2 linked regions of the Diceros bicornis minor genome follow. The protein of the gene in region 2 interacts with the protein of the main gene of each other region in a biochemical or structural test. Links are inferred from orthologs where the notes say so. Each region holds a gene or a part of one and is shown on either strand. Other genes may lie near its edges.

Region 1 (9,154 bases), on a different chromosome or scaffold from region 2:
GAGTGCCAGTGGTGCTGGGGAAGCCCCTCATTACCTCCTCAGGAAAGTTCAGCCCTGAAAGGGGCCATGGAGAAATCGAAACCAACCTCCTGTCACTCGGTGGACAGGACAAGGGGAAGCCCAGAGGGAGCACGCAAGCCTTGAGGTCACACAGCAAGGGAGGGCAGGCCGGGGCCAGATGCCCCGCCAGGGTGGCCTGTGCTGGCTGCTGGCTGCGGCCTTATTGACGCCGACCTGTCCTGCTGCCAGACCTGTCCTCCTCCTCCACTCTCGGGGAGTGGCTCCTGGCAGCCAGACCTTTGGTCCTGGGAAGGCAGTTCTCCTACACCCCTTATCTCACGCGATCTGTGAAGTCAGCAGGGTGGGGAAGACACCCTCGCTTGGTGGATGGGGACACTGAGGCTGGGAGAGATGAAGGGACACCCTGCGGATACTGGCAGGGCCTACCTCAAGTCACTGCAACTTGGAAAAACCGTCTTAGGCCTCTGTGGTGGAGGCCCCGGGCACCCGAAGATGAATTAGACTTGTCTAGGCCCTCAAGGAACTCCCAGGCTGCAGGGGGAAACTGAGGCCCAGGCAGCAGTGGCTGGAGCTTTGGACTGCCTCAGTTCAAACCCTGGCTCGGCTACTTGCCAGCTCTGTGGCCTTAGGCCCATTACTTAAGCTCTTTGAGCCTTGGTTTCTTCGTCTATAAAATGGACACAGTAATAACGCCTCCCTCTTTGGGCTATAGTGGAAATTAAATGAGCTGATAATGGGAAGCACTTAGAAACCGCCACAATAGCAGGCGCTACATAAATGCTACAGTGTTAGGAGACATTTTGTCGACTTGGGTAAACCGCTTCCCCTCTCTAGGCCTCAGTTTGTCTGTCTATAAAATGAGGAGGCTGGAATGAGGAGGTTCAGAGCGTGAGGTGTGGAGTCACAAGGATGGCGGCTTGAATCCCAGCTGTCACTCACTGGCCCATCAAAACGAGGGAAAGTTTCCCTCCCGCTCTATCCCATCCCCACCCTGCTATTAGATATCATTGACTCTCAGACTTCTTCATGGCCTTTATCACATTTTATAATCAATCCCACATTTCATTTATTGTTTATGTGTCTGCCTCCACATCCAGGTAGGGAACCCCAGGAAGGCAGAACCACGGCTGTCTCAGTCACTGCTGAGTCCCCAGCACTGCCCAGCACAGGGCCAGGTACACAACAGGCGCTCAATAAATATTTATTGAATGGATGACGTCAGAAATTAGTCTCAATTGAAACCAAAGATCTAAGTCTCAGGCCAGAAAAGTCTCAGCCTTGTTCCTGCCCAGAACCAGCGCCCGGGCAGTACCTGTCCCCAGTGCCATCTCCCACCTTTCACCATCGCCCAGACCTGTCAGAGAACCCGCAGAGCCTCTGCCACAGCCAAGCCAGCACTTCTGGGGCCCACCCCCTAAGATTCTCCCCCCAGAGAGAGGCTCAGACCCAGCCCACTGGGGCCTCTGAGTTTTCATGGTGATGGGACTCAATCCTGCCTTCCATAATCCCAGCGGATTTATAAGAGAGAGGATCTTGTCATTTGGCCATGATTCTGCATTTCCCTGGGCAGCACTGAATTTGGGATGGCACAGGCTGAGGGACCTTAGAGACTAGTGGTTCTCAGCATCTCTTGGGAACTTGCTAGAAATACAAACTCTCAGGGCCCATCCTAGACCTACTGAATCAGAAGCTCCAGAGGTGGGGCCCAACAATCTGTTTTAACAATCTCTCCAGGGGACTCTGATGCACACGAAGGTTTAAGAACCACTGTTATAGCCTGTCTAATAATAATAATTATTATTGTTATTATATCACTAATAGTTAAAATTTATTGAGCCTTTACTGTGTGCCTGACACTGCTTTGAAAGTTTACCTGTATCCTCTCAATCCCCCTAAAAAGGAAGCACTGATATTATGCCCATCTTATAGATGAGGAAAACTGAGGCCCAGAGAGGGGAAGTGACTTGCAGACATTCACACAGGGAGGGGGTGGTGGCATCAGCCTGTAATTATTAACTTCAGTGCTAATATGGTGATTCTTTAAAGAGAACTCCTCTTAGAGCATGAACAGGTGGTTAGTTTTACCTGTCCAGCTCCTAATCACCGCCTGGGGCCCCCATCTCAACGGGCAGGGAGGGACACAGGCCGTCAGAGGAAAGCTGAGGTGGACCTAGAGAAACCCCCAAACAGAGGCGTGCCCAACGCCGCCTGTACAGGATTCCCCCGTCCCCCGTCCTAAGCGTGCAGGTGGGCAGGGACCGTGGAGGGCTGCTCACCCGTGGTCCTGGAAACGGCGAGCGAGAGCGAGGAGAGGTCAGCGGGCCCTGCAAGGAGGGAGGCACGTCTCATGAGCTGATGGAGATGCAGCGGGAGGACCAGAGAATCCCCCAAGCCCCATCCCGTTCCCCTCCTGGCTCCGCCCCTTTGAATCAGGCCCCTCCCCCTTATCGCCCACTGAGTCTGGCCTTGCTCCCTTCCCTAACCCATGGACGCGTCCCCTAGTTTATCATTCACCCCACCTTTCATCACACTCAGGCCTCGCTCCTTCTCCCCCTTAAGATCGGGCCTGGAGGAGCCCTTGTCAACCTGTTAGGAAAGCCCCCACCTCCTTCCTTATCTCAGGGTCAGACCCTACCCCTTCACTTTTTCAGTGTCAAGCCCGTCCCCTTCTCCCTCTCAGACCCTGCCACTTCTCTTCTGAGACCAGCTACCCCCTCTTCTTCTCTGAGTCAGGCCCCGCCCTTCTTTTTTCGGAACAGGCCCTCTCCTGTCTCTGCGCCAGAGCCAGGCCCCGCCCCTCCTCCCTCTCGGAGTCTGGCCCCGCCCCCTCTCGCCCTCAGGCCCCGCCCCTTACTCTGAGCCGGACCCCGCTTCCTTCTCTGAGTCAGGCCCCGCCCTCCTCTCGCTCTCAGGGTCAGGCCCCGCCCCTCCTTGGAACCAGGCCCCTCCCTTTTCGCCCTCTCGGAGTCTGGCCACGCCCCCACCCCACAGCCGCGGCTCGCGCTCCGCCTCCTCCTCGTCAGGCCCCGCCCCTCCCCTCTCGGAGTCGGACCCCGCCCCCCTCTTTGCCTCAGGGTCAGGCCCCGCCCCCTTCTCACTCTACAGTGGGACGCCTCTCTCTTACCTTGGGCCGGACCCCGTCCCCATCCTCTGCCTCCTTCCTTCCCTCTAATACAGTGTCCCCGGAGCCCTCACACTCTCCCGGCAAAACCCCTGGAGTCCTGTAGGAACCATCAGACTCCTCCGGGACCCGCAGACGCCCGCATCTCCAGTCCCGCCCCAGAGTCCTCCTGAACCCAGGCCCCGCTTACCCAAGGCCCCCAGCTCCGCTGGGGGTCTGGCGACGCGGCGACTCGGCATGGCCCGACCGGTGGGGTCGGACGGCCCGGAGGCCGGCCCACACCAAAACACACGCGCGGGCGGCCCGGGCGGCCGGGCGGTACGGTCCGGCGGACGATCGCGGGTCGGGCGAGCGGCTCAGGGGCTGGGGCCGCAGGCCGGGCAGGACGCGCGGCGCCCGGGGCTGCGGGGGGCGCCGGGCCGGGCCGGGCGGGCGGCGGGCGGGGGCGGGGCGGCGGAATTCCCCGGCGCCGCCGGCCTGCGCGCCCATTGGCCCGCACCCCGCCGTGACGTCACGCTGGGGGAACGGGAAAACCCCCACGCGTCACGTGGTCGCGGGGGCGGGGCCGGCCGGGAAGAGGAGGCCGGGCGCACTGGAGGGGCCGGGCGCCGCCGCTGCCCGTTGCTCTGGCGGAGAAGACTGAGGCCTGCTTGGGACCACTCACGCCCCACCCAGGGAGCAAGTCGGGAAACTGAGGCCCGCCGCTCAGGTGTGCCGGCGGGATTGAACCTGCTGTTTCTCTGGCTGGAAGGGCACTTCGGGATCAGGGGCTCTATAGCTGACATTGATAATGATTTTTACGAAACCTCCGTGGTCTCTCTACGCCTCAGTTTCTTCAACTGTAAATTGGGAGTGAACATATTTAAACGTTTAAAGCTAGAATGTCAGTTCTAGGATTTGTCTGTTTTGTTCTTTGCTGTCTCCCCAGTGCCTAAAACAGCACCTGGAACACAGTAGGTGCCTAATAAATGTTTGTTGAATGAATGGAGGGATGTTTTATTCCTCCCCATAGCCCCTTCAAGTTTCCTAATAGCGCAGCGCACTTTCAGCTCAGTAACTCGGGCTGGGAATGGCTGAAGCCCCCCGTGTACGTATCCAGCTGTGTGCCTGACGGCTGAGCAGAGGGCTTACCTGGGGGCCTCAGACGCACGTGACAGAACCAGGAGGAGAGACGAGGGACTGAGGCTCAAAGAGGGGCAGCTCTTTGGTCACATCACATTCCTAAGCCTGCCCTGTCCGTGAGAATGACTGGGTGACTGTTGGGTTCCAGCTGGGATGCAGGGCACCCTCGGCCCACAGAGCCGGGGGCTGGCGTCCTGTGTCTGCTTGTGTAAAACGTGAGTGTTCCACCTCTTCCCTCCGTGGCCCACGTGGACGCATTGATTCACTCCACATACACCTACAGAGCACCTGCTCTGCCCAGAGCCTGCACTGGGCACTAGGCCACAGCACTCGCCAAGCCAGGCCTGGTACCTGCTCACGGGAGGCAGGATCACGTACAACAGCAGTTCTCAGAGGGTGGCCCCCAGCTCATCAGGTGATGTGGCTGTACGCTCAAGTTGAAGAACTCCTGCCACAGAGCAAAATATCCGGCCCTTTTTTTCTGCAAACGGCCGACAGCAAATTTGTTCCACTTGAGGGTTTCAGGGCCAGACAGCCGCAACACTCGATTCTTCAGCACAAAAGCAGCCAAAGACAGTACGGAAGCTATGAGTGTGGCTGTATTCCAATAAAACATTATTTGATGGATACTGAAATTTGAATTTCACGTAATTTTCATGTGAAATGAAATCTTCTCCTTGAGGTTTGTTTCAACCACTTGAAAATGTAAAAATTACACCAGAACTAGAAAAAGCTGGATTTGGCCTGCGGACTGTAGCCTGCATATAACAAGAACATGGCAAAAGAAGTTATGATTTGAGGGTCCAGAATCAGACAGCCTGGGTTCAAATCCTAGGTCTCCTACTTACCAGCTGTGTGACCTTGGGCAACTGACTTCATCTCTCTGATCCTCAGTTTCCTCATCTGTAAAATGGGTCTAATGATAGGACGGTTGTGAGAATTAAATAAGATACTAGTAAGAGTTGACACTTGTATGTGGCTCTTACATGTGCTTTGCACTGATCTAAGCACTTCATGTTCTAAATCCTCATGTCACGTGACTTTGTGAGATCTTGGACAAATCACCTAATTTCTCTGGGTTTCTGTTTTCTCTATCTGCTCTTGTGAACATCCGACTTACAGAGTTATTACACACAGAGCTGGGGACACAGCAGGCAAGGGACACAACAGACAACAGCCTGCCATCATGGAACTAAAATCCAGGTGAGGGCAACAGGTGGAAAATAGATAAGCAAATTGATGTCCGGTGGTGATGGCAGGATTAGAGAATAAAGCAGGATATGTGGATCAAGTTGGGAGAGTACTCTTTGGGTTAGGAAGCTCAGGGAGGGTCTGAGATGACATTTGAGCAGAGGGCTGAAATGGTGAAAGGATCCATGTGGATATCTAGGGAAGAGTGTTCAAGACAGAGGGAACAGCAAGTGCAAAGGCCCTGAGGTGGGAACATGCATGGCATGTTCAAGGAACAGCAAGGAGGCTAGAGTGGCATGTCTGCTGGGGAAGCAGTGGAGATGAGGGTAGTGATAGCTTGTAAGGTGACGGGGACATTGAGTAATGCTACATTTAGTGCATGGAGTGAACCACACACAGCACCTAGACTAGAACTTGGCTCATGATAAGGAGTGTCAAATCGTGGCTCCTATTATAGGACCAGGGGCCCACCTGATTCCCTCTGTCCTTTGCAAATGTCAGGCCTCACAATTGTCTGTTGGGTGAATAAGTGAAAGGCCATGTTGGAAACCCTCAGCGCTCAGGATTTCTCCGGCTCTGTGCCCCATGAGGGCAGGCCTGGGGCTGTCTTGGTCCCTGCTGTGTACACAGAACCCCCAGCTCAGGGCAACATCCGGGGAGGGGCTCAGGGAGCATCTGTTGACTAACTGCATGTCTGTCACTCCACCAGGAGCTTAATGCGGCCCCGTCAGGGTCCACGCTTCTGGATGTGTGTGTGTGTCTGTGCAAGTCAGTTGTACAAACGGGCACTCAGCACACTCCCAGAGCGCCTTCTCTGTGCCAAGGACATGGCAGTGACCAAGACAGCCCTGGCTTTGTCCTCACGGGGCTCAGTCCAGTGGAGAATGACCTGTCTCCAGATGGTGATGACCCACAGCGGGCAGGGCTGGGATGGGGGAGCCCAGGCAGCTGTGAGCGCCCAGAGGGAGTGGTCAGGGAGGGCTTCCTGAAGGAGTCGACATTGGCGCTGCAACCTGGAGGATGCACAGGGTAAGGAGAAGAGCTGAGTGCCTGGGGGCGTGTCCCAGGTAAAGGAAGAGCATGGGCTAGAGCTGGAGGTAAGAGATCACAGCAAGTTAAAGCAGGGGGGGCTGTAGGGGTTAAGAAGTTAGGAGCCCGGGCTCTTCTCCCAAGGGTACTGGGGAGCCACGGTAGGTTCTGAGCAGGGTCAGGTTTGTGCTTTGGAAAGTTCTCTCTAGCTGCTGGATGGAGAGTGAATGGGAGGGGCAGGACTGGGCAGGAGACCAGGGAGGAGGCTGGGTGGGGGCCCAGGGGGTAAGGAGGAGCCTGGACCACGTGGTCTCAGTGGAAGTGAAGAGGTGAGACTCCCAAGCAATTATGGGGGACAGCAGATGGGCCCTGCCAAAGGCTTGGGTGTGTGGCTGTGGGAGGAGGAGCCAGGGGTGATGAGGCCAGCGAGCGGAGGGGGCCTGAGGGTCCACGGCCCCGGGTTCCCAGAGCCCCGCAGAGAGCAGGGGAGGGAGTGGAGCAGGTCCGTGGCTGCCTGAGGGGTGCAGGCGCCTGCAGTACCGTGTCACAGATTCCTGAGAGCCTGGCATGGTCCTCAGCCCCGGGCCTCCTGTCCCCGAGGTGTTGATGAGACCACTCCCCCAGAAAGTAAACCTGGGAACGTGGGGCTCCAACCCCTCGGTGTGCAGGGACGCCCAGAGGCCTGTCTCCTCACCTGTAAGGTGGGTGAACAGTCCCAGCACCCGGGTTGTTGGGAAGGCACACGTGCCATGCACTAAGACCCTGGCTGGGTCTCTGACACAGGCAGCCCTGGGGGTGCTGATGACACCCCCTCGGCTACAGAGTGCTACAGCTGGGCACCACTCGAGCGCGGATTCACCCCCGAGCCCCCGCCGCAACCCTGCGAGGAGGCAGGCCCATGCTCCTGCCCTGCCCGGCGGCGATGGCCGGGAGACAGTCAGTGGGCACAGGTGGGTGTGGCCTTGGGGCAAGAGCATGGGCGCGGCAAGGTCCCGGCAAGCAGGCTCCCCGTCTGTCAAGTGGGGTACAGTCATGGAGGCCCCTCAGAGGGCTGCTGGGAGGGGAGAGGGTAAGAAAGGGGCCTGGCCCCGAGGGTCGTGTCCTGCACCTGTGGGTCTCCCTCCAGACCTGGACAGGCATCACACCTGCTCTCCCATGTGACAGAGGAAGGAAGGCGTGAGGGGTTGTTGAGTTTAAGTTAAACACCCATATGAATTTATTAAATCCAGACTGTGTTAAAGGGCGGCGATCTGGGAGGATGGGGTGCGCGGGGACGAGGGACAAGATGATGGATGCCGTGGGCGCCCCGCAGAGGGGCCCCGGCCCCTCCCCCGCCTGGCCCTCCCCCTCGGCAGCGCCACGTCGGCTTCGCCATGATTCCCGATGGTGCTGGGCTGGCGGGGCGAGATGGCTAGAAACACAGAGGAACAGACGGACGGACGGCGCCTCCACAAACAACGTGCCCTGGCCTGCCCGGCCCCCACACCAAGCTGGGCCCTGGCCCAAGGGGGCCTCCTACCGTCCCAGCCCCATCTGTCCAGGGAAAGGGCGACAGGAGGGGAGGCGGGGGGGCCAAGGCGGCGGGGGCGGTGGTCACTGGGAGCCGGAGCGGACGAGGAGGACCAGGAGCGGTTAATCCCTTTTCTTGTCCTCTGCTGGCTTTGGAGGAGCCTCCTGGGGCTCGCTGGCAGAGCTGGGCCCCTGGGTGGGCTGGGTGGGCTTGGCGGGCCGGGGCGTGGAGGCCTCCTCCCTGGCGGCGGCAGTGGTTGTGGCGGGGGCAGGGGAGGCTGGGAGGGCCCCTGCTGCTGGCGGGGCCTCCGCCACGGGGGCAGCTGCTGGCGGGGCCTCACCGCTCATGCCAAACTCGTTCACCCGCGTGGGGTCGACGCGGTAGATCCACCGTTGGTAGAGGTAGATGAAGAAGACCACATCTGGGGGTGGGGTGAGGGGGGCAGTGTAAGTGGAGGGGGCCTGCTTGGCCCACCGCTGTGGGGAGGAGTGGTCCTGCAAAGCCGGGGCCGAGCCCCCTCAGCCTCAGCCCTAAGGTGGGGCCGGGGCAGCTCCCGCAGACCAGGGCCCTGAATCCTGCCTGTGCCCAGCTCTGGGTGGGGGGGGGGGCTCCGCTGACCCACCCGCCTGCCTCCGGGCCTCACCGTCCCGCAGGCAGCCGATCCGGTACATAACGGGCATCTTGATGACAAAGGCGAACAGGTCGTCGATGAAGGTGTTGAGGGCCTTGTAGGTGAGCATGCGCCAGGGCAGGTGGGCCACAGACTTGAGCTTGTAGTTGATGAAGAGCTGAGGTGTCATGGTGATGAAGCCTGCGGTGGTGGTGAAGGAAGACCCTGACCCCCGCCTCTCTGACCGCACTTCCACCCTCCCTCCCCTCACCACTCTGTTCTAGCCACAGTGGCCTCCCTGCTACTTCCAATACCCCAGCCCATCCGACCTCAGGGCCTTTGCACTTGCTCTGCCGTCCGTCCGTCACCAGATTTTTCCACGGCTCCCTCCTTGGCATCTTTCAGGCCTCAGTTTACATATCATCCCCTCAGAGAGGTCTCCCTGACCACTTGCTAATGTGTACCCCCTCATCACAGGGTGTAACTCGCCTGTCCACTTGTTGCTCTGTGGGACCCTCTGAGAACGAGGACTAGAATGCACTGTTCATGG
Region 2 (8,438 bases):
CCTACCTTCAGTTGAAATGTGTCCCTCGTGATTTGTTAGTACTGATCTTTTAAGTATCAGACTTTCTGAATGATTTGCTTTGTAGATAATAAATTAGACCTGATTTAAGACTTTTCCTATCATAATGCCATATCTATCATGTAACCTAGTATTATTCCTATCATTATACTAGTGCTCAGACATGTTTTCTTGAACAGGAAGGAAAGGTGGCCGTATCTACGTGAGTGTGTTGCACACAGGAATGTCTTCCATCTCATAAAGCATTGCTAAACTCTCCGCTGACAGCCTCAATGGGAGTTCCTTTGTACGTGAGGAATATTTTTTCTCTCGCTGCTCCACATGGTACTTTCTCCTCAGTATGTTCACACTTCCTTCTTGCTGCCAACAGAGTACTCACCACTCCCTTTCTTGCCTCAAGCAGAGATTGGATTAAGTCAATCTTGTGCTCTAAGCATGGTACGAAAAAACTGACAGACTGAATTGCGGTGGGTATCTGACTCCTGATTATCTATCTGGGTTATCTATGCCTTCACTGTCTTTGACTAGGCTGTTTTGCTACTCTTGAGAGACGCAAGTTGTAGAAAACTGATAGTAAGGCAAATAATTCTTAATTATAAATAAATTAATTCTGTCAAGTGGAGGTTCAATCTATCTTCCTCCTCCACTACGGAAGAAGCCAGTTTTGCATCTGTTAAGCTAATTCATTTCAGCATCTTGCTGGGCTTACATAATTATCTCATCTTTGGATTCTCCTTTGAAGTGGTTGTAACACCTTTCTGGTTCCCTTGTTCACTAATGTGTTAAGTAAAATCTTTGACACATGTTCATTGTACATTTGTTGAGAGTCATGATTTTAACTTTCTTAAAAAACTATCCCATCCAAAATCCTGAACACCGACATCAAATGCTGGCGTGGATGTAGAGCAACAGGAATTCTCATTCATTGCTGGTAGGAATGCAAAAGGATACAGCCATTTTGGGAGACAGTTTGGCAGTTTCTTAGAAAACTAAACATAGTCTTCCCCTATGAGCCAGCAATCACGCTCCTTGGTATTTACCCAAAGGAGTTGAAAACTGATGTCCACACAAAAATCTGCACACAGATGTTTATGGCAGCTTTACTCATAACTGCCAACACCAGGAAGCAACCAAGTTCTTCAGCAGGTGAATGGATAAATAAACTGTGATACATCAGGCAATGGAGTATTAGCCAGTGCTAAAAACAAATGAGCTATCAAGCCATGAAAAGACCTGGAGGAAACTTAAATGCATATTAATAAGTGAAAGAGGCCAATCTGAAATGGCTACATACTGTATGATTCCAACTATATGACATTCTGGAAAAGGCAAAACTATGGAGACAGTAAAAGACCAGTGGTTGCAAAGGGTTAGGGAGGAGGAGGGACGAATAGGTGGGGCACAGAAGATTTTCAAGGCAGTGAAAGTACTCTGTATGATACTGTAATAGTGGATACATGTCATCATACATTTGTCTAAACCCAAAGAATGTACCCCACCACAAATGAACCCTAATGTAAACTATGGACTTTGGGTGATGATGATGTGTCAGTGCAGGTTCATAGTACCAGTCTGGTGGGGGATGTGGATAATGGGGGAAGTTGTGCATGTGTGGGGGCAGAGGGTACATGGGAAATCTCTCTACCTTTACTTCAATTTTGCTGTGAACCTAAAACTGCTCTAAAAAAAACCTTAATAAAAACAAAACAAATAAAAGCTATCCTTTAACAGTATTTGGCACAGAGCCTGGCACAAGGTAGGCATCCAATAAATATTTGTTAATGATTGAATGAATGAATAAATGAAGAATGAATGAATTTAGACAAGTAAAAGAGTTTTTGCCATGGATGATTCATCATGAAGGAAAGGTGTGGAATACAAGTGCAACACTTAGCCACTATTCCCAAGTTGAAATCGAAACGGGAAAATTCCCCTAATCCTTTGGGAGACGGCAGCAGCAAGGGGCAGGTACGGATGCGGAGAGCCTTGTGAAAGAGCGTGGCCTCAACAAAGAGGCTGAGTCAGAGGTCACGAAGGCTGCAGGGCATGGAATAAGGGTGGAAGACAAGAAATGCCATTTAAGTCACAAGACTCCTGTTTCCTTTCCCTCTGTTGTAGACAGATCCCAGGACCTGCAAGATCCCCGGGCCTTTGAAAACCTGTCCAGATATGAAACAATGTTATTCTGGCATTTCTAGATAGAGTACCATCTATAGTCAAATTGTGTAAAGGAAAAAAACCTTTGAGTCAGTTTCCAGATTTCTGAGAGTTTTGAAGATTACATCAATGAATTTCCATAGAATGAAACCACAAGCTTCCTGAAGATTGTCTGGATTCACAAAGATTTGTGTCACTCTCAACTAATGAGGAAGAACTCCCACGTATATTAGCTATAGACATGTATGAACTTTTAAAGGGCATTTAAAAGCCAGATCTCCACTCTGTTTTTCTCCTATCTTTACATAAACGTAAATATAGAAATAGATATAGAAAAGGAAGCTGAATTAGTTTATTATGTTGTTCCCAACACTAACATGACAGTTTTGAGAGTACTAATATATGCTGCATCTACTTCTCCCAGACACTTTATATATGCATATATATTATCTCTCATTTAATTCTCACAACAAGCATTGGAAGTAGGTACTGTTATCTTCCACTTTTTACAGATGTGGAAATCGAAGCAGAGAGGTGAAGTGACCTGCCTCAGGTCACACCACAACGAAGTGGCAGCATCAAGGTTCAAATTCAGGGCTAACTCTAAAGGTCACATACTTTCCACTATACCATTAGGCCCCATAAGAAAACCACAGGAGTGAAATTATGTGATAAAAATATTAACACTTGATTGAGAGGAGAAGTCCAGTCATAAAGTGTAATGTCAATCCAGGGTAGAGGTTGGAGAGTGGTGGATGAGGTGACGGCACAGGTTATAAAATTGCCAGGAGGCAAACAGGGCCAGGACCAGAGTGAAGTGAGGGAGGCACCTGCCTGGGGATGGAGAGGAGAGGATGGGAGGGGTCAATACAGCGCCCAGCTGAGCTGCACTGGATAAAGAAGCACCTGATCAGGCGCTGGCCCGGTGGCGCAAGCAGTTAGGTGCGCGCTCCACTGCGGCGGCCCGGGGTTCGCCGGTTCAGATCCTGGGCGCGCACCGACGCACTGCTTGTCAAGTCATGCTGTGGCGGCGTCCCATATAAAGTGGAGGAAGATGGGCATGGATGTTAGCTCAGGGCCGCTCTTCCTCACACACACACAAAAAAAGAAGCAGCACCTGATCAAAATGAGATAGATGCTCACAGGGTAAATAACATAGGTACCCATTTTAACCCATATGCACATATGAGAAGCTGCATAAGCAACACCTTGTACGTGGTAGACTTAGAAAAAAGAAATCTGTTGAATTTCAATTTTAAAAGACTAGAAGCCTTGACTGATCCAGACTAAACCAATCAAGACTAGAAGAGTTGACTTCCATAATTGGCACCTGCAGTGAATAAACTCATAAAATATTTGTTCAATGATTTAAGACAAAACAGGAAGGCACCAGAAGTGACTGGGAAAAGCTTACCAAGTCAAACTGAGTATGAACAAGCTTTTGCATTTGTAAGGATAATAGCTACTCTCTGCAAAACAGAGTTAAGAGCTTTACATGCATCAACTCCTTTAATCCTGGTAACAACTCCATATTGTATATTTTCAGTCCCATTTTAACAGATGAGGCAGAGAAATTAGTAACTTATTCAAGGTCATAAAACTAGAATCCAGCAGATCTTTCTGGTCCCAAAGGTCTTGCTCTTAGCCAGTATACTGCATTCTGAACTTTGAACTTACACTGGATGAAAAAGCCTCGAGACTGCTTGTGCTAGAATGTGGCGGAGACTGTATGCAGCAACTACCTCGCCAACACGTAGTGAGAATTTGCGGGTCCGAATTATTGCTACAGCAAATAGCACATAGCAACACACGTAGTCCTGTGTGATGAAAAAGCTAATGGCAACACAAACTGGGCCAGGAAGCCTTGTGTCTGGGGGCTACCTGGCTGGTCACACTTCATAAGCTGCTTGCTGGTTTTTGTCCCAAACCACCCTACGGTTTTCAATGGAACAATGGCCTTCAATGTTGCTAAGATTGGGGGAGAGAGCTCAGGTGCAGTCTGCATTTATTTCATCTATTCTGGACCCTTCCAGGGATGGCATCCTTTATAACGCTGCCTTCTTTGATATACGAAGATTGTGCGTGGCAGTCTAACTAGGAGGAAACTAGGCGATTCCTGCTAAAAACAATCATTTCCAAGATCTGATTAGGTTTAAATACACCACAGTTCAGTTAAAAAAAAAAAAATCTAAGCACAGATTTCGGGCAATTTCCATTAGGTATCTGGATCTCTAGCACCACTTCCCTTACCAATGCCATACACATCTAACCCTAAAGAGGAAGCCCCCGCTGAGGTTGCCCAAGGCGGGTGCTGGTGGCGTCGCCCGTCACAGGCAAGTCACTGAGTCAGCTGAGCGAGCCCCTGGAGCAAGAAGCCAGGGGCCGGCAAAGGAGAGCCGCGTGCTCCTGTCTTTGGCGTGAGGCAATCCTCCTCCCACAGTCTCGGGAAGCCCCGACGCCGCAAGCTTCCTCGCCGTAGTGGAGCCGCCCGGGCGTAGTTCCTCCCTGCTTCCTCCAGCTGCAACCACCCGACCCTTCCTGCTCGGCCAGGACTCCACCTCCCCGGGTTTGAAGCACGCGCCTCGCGAGCCGGGCGGCAGCGGGGCGGGCGAGGGAGACACGCGGCCGCGCGCGCACGCGCGCGCAGGGGAGGCCCCGCCCCCGCCCGGGGCCCCGCCCCCTCGGCGCGGCTGGCGCGGCCGGCCGGCCCGGCTTCCCTTGACAAACCTGTCTCGGCGGAGCGGGGAGCGCAGCTTCCTCCTTCCAGCGCGGTGCAGCGCCGCCCGATTTGTCCTTCCGCCGCTGCCTCCGCGGCGCCGGGGCGAGCGAGGGAGCGAGCGAAAGGTGTACTGGGCCGAGGCCCGCGATGCGGCCGGCGGGAGCAGCGGCAGTCGCGGGGTCGCCGGCGCGGGACATGTCGCTGTGCGGGGAGCCGCTGCAGGCCCCGCCGCCCCCGCCCTCGCAGCCGCCTCCGGTCGTGCCCTCGGGACCGCCGCTCTCCGCAACGGCCGGCGCGACCCTCAACCGCCTTCCGGAGCCGCTGCTGCGGAGGCTCAGCGGGAGCCTGGACCGCGCGCCCGAGGGCCGGGGCTGGAGGAGGCTGGCCGAGGTGGCGGGGAGTCGGGGGCGCCTCCGGCTCAGGTGAGGCGGCACCGGGGGCGTGGGGGCGGGGTCACGTGGGGCGAACTTGGGCGGGGGGCGCGCGAGGAGAGTGGGGTGGGCACCGGGCTGGGACGGTGGACGCCGTCGTGGGTGGGGCCTGAACCCAGGAAGGTCCTGGGAATGCGTGAGATTTGAGAGTGGACCCCGGGCGTTCACGCCGTTTTCCTACCCTCCTCCCGTGGGCTGAAAGAGACGAGTCGAGGTTGACCAAGGAGGCTATTGAGAGAAGGAAAGCTGTCTGGAGACCGTTGTGATAGGGCGGCAATTCCGAAGCACTTAAAATACAAAAGAACAGGATGTGGACACAGACCTGGAAGACCCTTAGGAGGGTTAGGAAGGAGAAGTGCAGGTAAAGAGATGATGAAAGCAAAGGGTTTGGGGTGCAGGAATTCATGAAGGTTTTTATGTAGGGAGAGAAGGATGGTGGGAAAGACAGACTTAACTCACCGTCTTCCTCCGTCAAACCAACTTACCAGGCTCTCTTCTTGACTTCACCATGACATTAAACTATAAATAAAACTCTTTTCCTATTCCCAGGCTTGGAACCGCTGTGCTAGCGGTTCTGGAACGTTTGGTCTCAGGACTCCTTTACACTCTTAAGAATTATTGAGGACCCCAGAGAGTTTTTAATGTGGGTTCTATGTATTACATACATATAATATATACTGATATTTACCATATTAGAAATTAAAGGTAATAAATTTTTAAAATATTAACTAAAAAGAATGTCTCATTACATGTGAACAGAAATTACATGTTTTGTGGAAAAACAGACATTTCCAAAACAAAATTTAGGAAAGTGGCATTGTTTTACATTGTGAAAATCTCTTTAATGTCTTGGCTTAATTGCAGAGAGCTGGCTGCTTCTATGTGCTTCTACATTCAGTCTGTTGCACTGTCATATAACACTGGCTACTCCAATGTACACTCCTGAGACAGTGAATGAAAGAGATAAAAACATCTCTGACCTTGTGGATCAAGTGAAAGGGTTTCAGGAACTGCGCTAGGGGTTCCTAGACCACGCTTAGACCCACTACTCTATACCGTTGTTATGGTCTTGGTCTGCTTTTGAACCCCTTAGCAGTTTTCTTAACTTCTCCTATGAGTTAACTTTGTCTTATACTATAATTATTTGTACACATCTTTATAAACTCCTTGAGAACAGGAACCATCACTTAAGATTTTATATGTTATATATTGAACCTATCTTAGGCATTCTATAAATACTTTGAATTGAGAGGGGAGTCATTCATTCAAAACTTACTGAGTGCCTATTACTGAAGTTCCAGAAAATAAAAAGATAACAAATATTTAACTACTATTCATAGGGGCTTGTCTAGTAATGGACTGTTATTCTGGGACATTCGCAAACATGTTAAATGCTATGTTGAGTGTGAATCATAATAATAATGGGTTTTTATCATTTATTAAGCACTTAGTGTATACCAGTGTACTAAGTGTTTGCATGCATTATCTACTTTAACCCTCACAACAACCTTGAGTTTCAGAGAGTTTAGGGTTAAACCAGAGTCATGATGATTTGGGATTATTTGGCCATACAGAGGAATAATGATATGAGGATGGAATCAAGAAGTGGTAAACTCACAAAGTGAGCAGACAGATGGCGTACTTTTTTTCTCTTCTAGGAAAAACACATTGTGCTTTTGACTGTGGAAAGAAAATCCAAGACACTGTTATTTTAGCATCATAGATTTCTGAATTTCTAAACTTAGAATAATGTAAAATATTGTCTTCTTTGGGAGGGGTCAGATTACCCAATCTGTGATTGGTTAATTTGTGATATTAACTAGTACTCTAGTTAGGGAAGGCTCTGGGCTTTCCTGAAGAGGCCCTGGTAGTGAGGACTCGTATTTGTCAATAAAGGAGAGAGAAGAAAGTCATTAAGGCCCTGCCACTGAAGAAGCATGGCTGCTGGAATCTAAAAGTAGTGGATACCTGACGTCAGGTGTTCAGTTTTCGTCCCCAAGCCTTCAGTCAGGTGTTGTTAAAGGCTACAGAATGATGTCAGCTTTGTTTGGGGGAACTAATGGAAGGGTTTGAGGCCACATCTTTAAAGTGACGTAGTATAGAGAGAAGGGAAGTTGCCTAGCCTGAGGTGATGAGCAACAAAGGGCATGCGATGGTGGAATCTGGGAATATCAGGGTGGGAAGTCTGATAACAGACAGATGGAGTTTCACCAGTCTCCCCAGATGGTGAAGGTTGGTTCAGAGTAGGTTAGTTGTGGTGGAGAGAGTGAGGGCAACCCTGAAGATTGGAGAATTGGGAAATATTAAGCTCATATACCTCTTGAAATCAGAATTAAACTGACATGACAGAGGTTAGCACTGAGAACTTGGGGACTGGAGAGTGACAACGGAAGGGGCAAGGTAAGCTGGTCATGCTTACTCTATTTAAGACAGTTATTTTAAAGTGATTGCATACTCATGGCAGAAGAGCATCTGTGATAGTAGGCGGTCCTAAGGGTATTATTCTCTAGTATCAGACCTAGGAATTGTAATGTGTGAGTCCAAGTGACTAACAGTTCCCACGAGGATATGAAATGCTTTCCTCAGAATTGCTGGATTCGTAGCCTTAAAGTCTTAAGACAGTTGCCTATTCTGTTTCTCTTCACTTTTTTCCCTCTGTACGTCTTTCCGCAAACTAGATGAGAATTTAATAAATAAACCACAAGAGTCCATTCTGAACTGTCCATCAGGGATTAAGAATAATTGTAAATGTTTCCACATGGTTATTGATGAATCAGAATAAATCCTTGCATGTAGTTTAGTTTCCCACAACCATGTACATATGGGAATGCCCTAAATACAAACTCAGCCCTAATTCCATTCCAAACTGCTCTAATATTGAACACCCTTTGCTGTCAGTGTAGATAGGCACAGGTTCTGAGTGTCTTGCACAAGCTGCATAAATTCTCTGGTGGCATAGAACAGCAGAGCCCCGAAGATGACAGAGCTTTCAAAAGGCTCTAATGCCACCTAAATCTGGTGAAGGAGGGAGCTTAGAAATGGGCTGTGGAACGTGGACCAGGGAAAGCAGTCAGTGACTCCCGACCTACTGTGTTGAAGGTGCTCTTTGAGCT

What was found.
Region 1: of the proteins of MALT1 (region 2) and RELB, one has a biochemical effect on the other in vitro, tested with the Homo sapiens proteins (2 studies listed by BioGRID). The link is inferred for Diceros bicornis minor from reciprocal best matches to the Homo sapiens genes MALT1 and RELB.

What each region holds. Positions count from the first base shown.
Region 1 is NC_080773.1:19,348,057-19,357,210, reverse strand, and holds the start of RELB (transcription factor RelB), read right to left. Parts: upstream 3,532-9,154; 5' UTR 3,382-3,531; coding exon 3,333-3,381; intron 2,346-3,332; coding exon 2,298-2,345; intron 1-2,297. Other genes in the region: putative lipid scramblase CLPTM1, read right to left, coding at 8,117-8,415, 8,638-8,805.
Region 2 is NC_080755.1:49,979,593-49,988,030, forward strand, and holds the start of MALT1 (mucosa-associated lymphoid tissue lymphoma translocation protein 1), read left to right. Parts: upstream 1-5,006; 5' UTR 5,007-5,041; coding exon 5,042-5,316; intron 5,317-8,438. UniProt on the Homo sapiens protein: Protease that enhances BCL10-induced activation: acts via formation of CBM complexes that channel adaptive and innate immune signaling downstream of CARD domain-containing proteins (CARD9, CARD11 and CARD14) to activate NF-kappa-B and MAP kinase p38 pathways which stimulate expression of genes encoding pro-inflammatory cytokines and chemokines.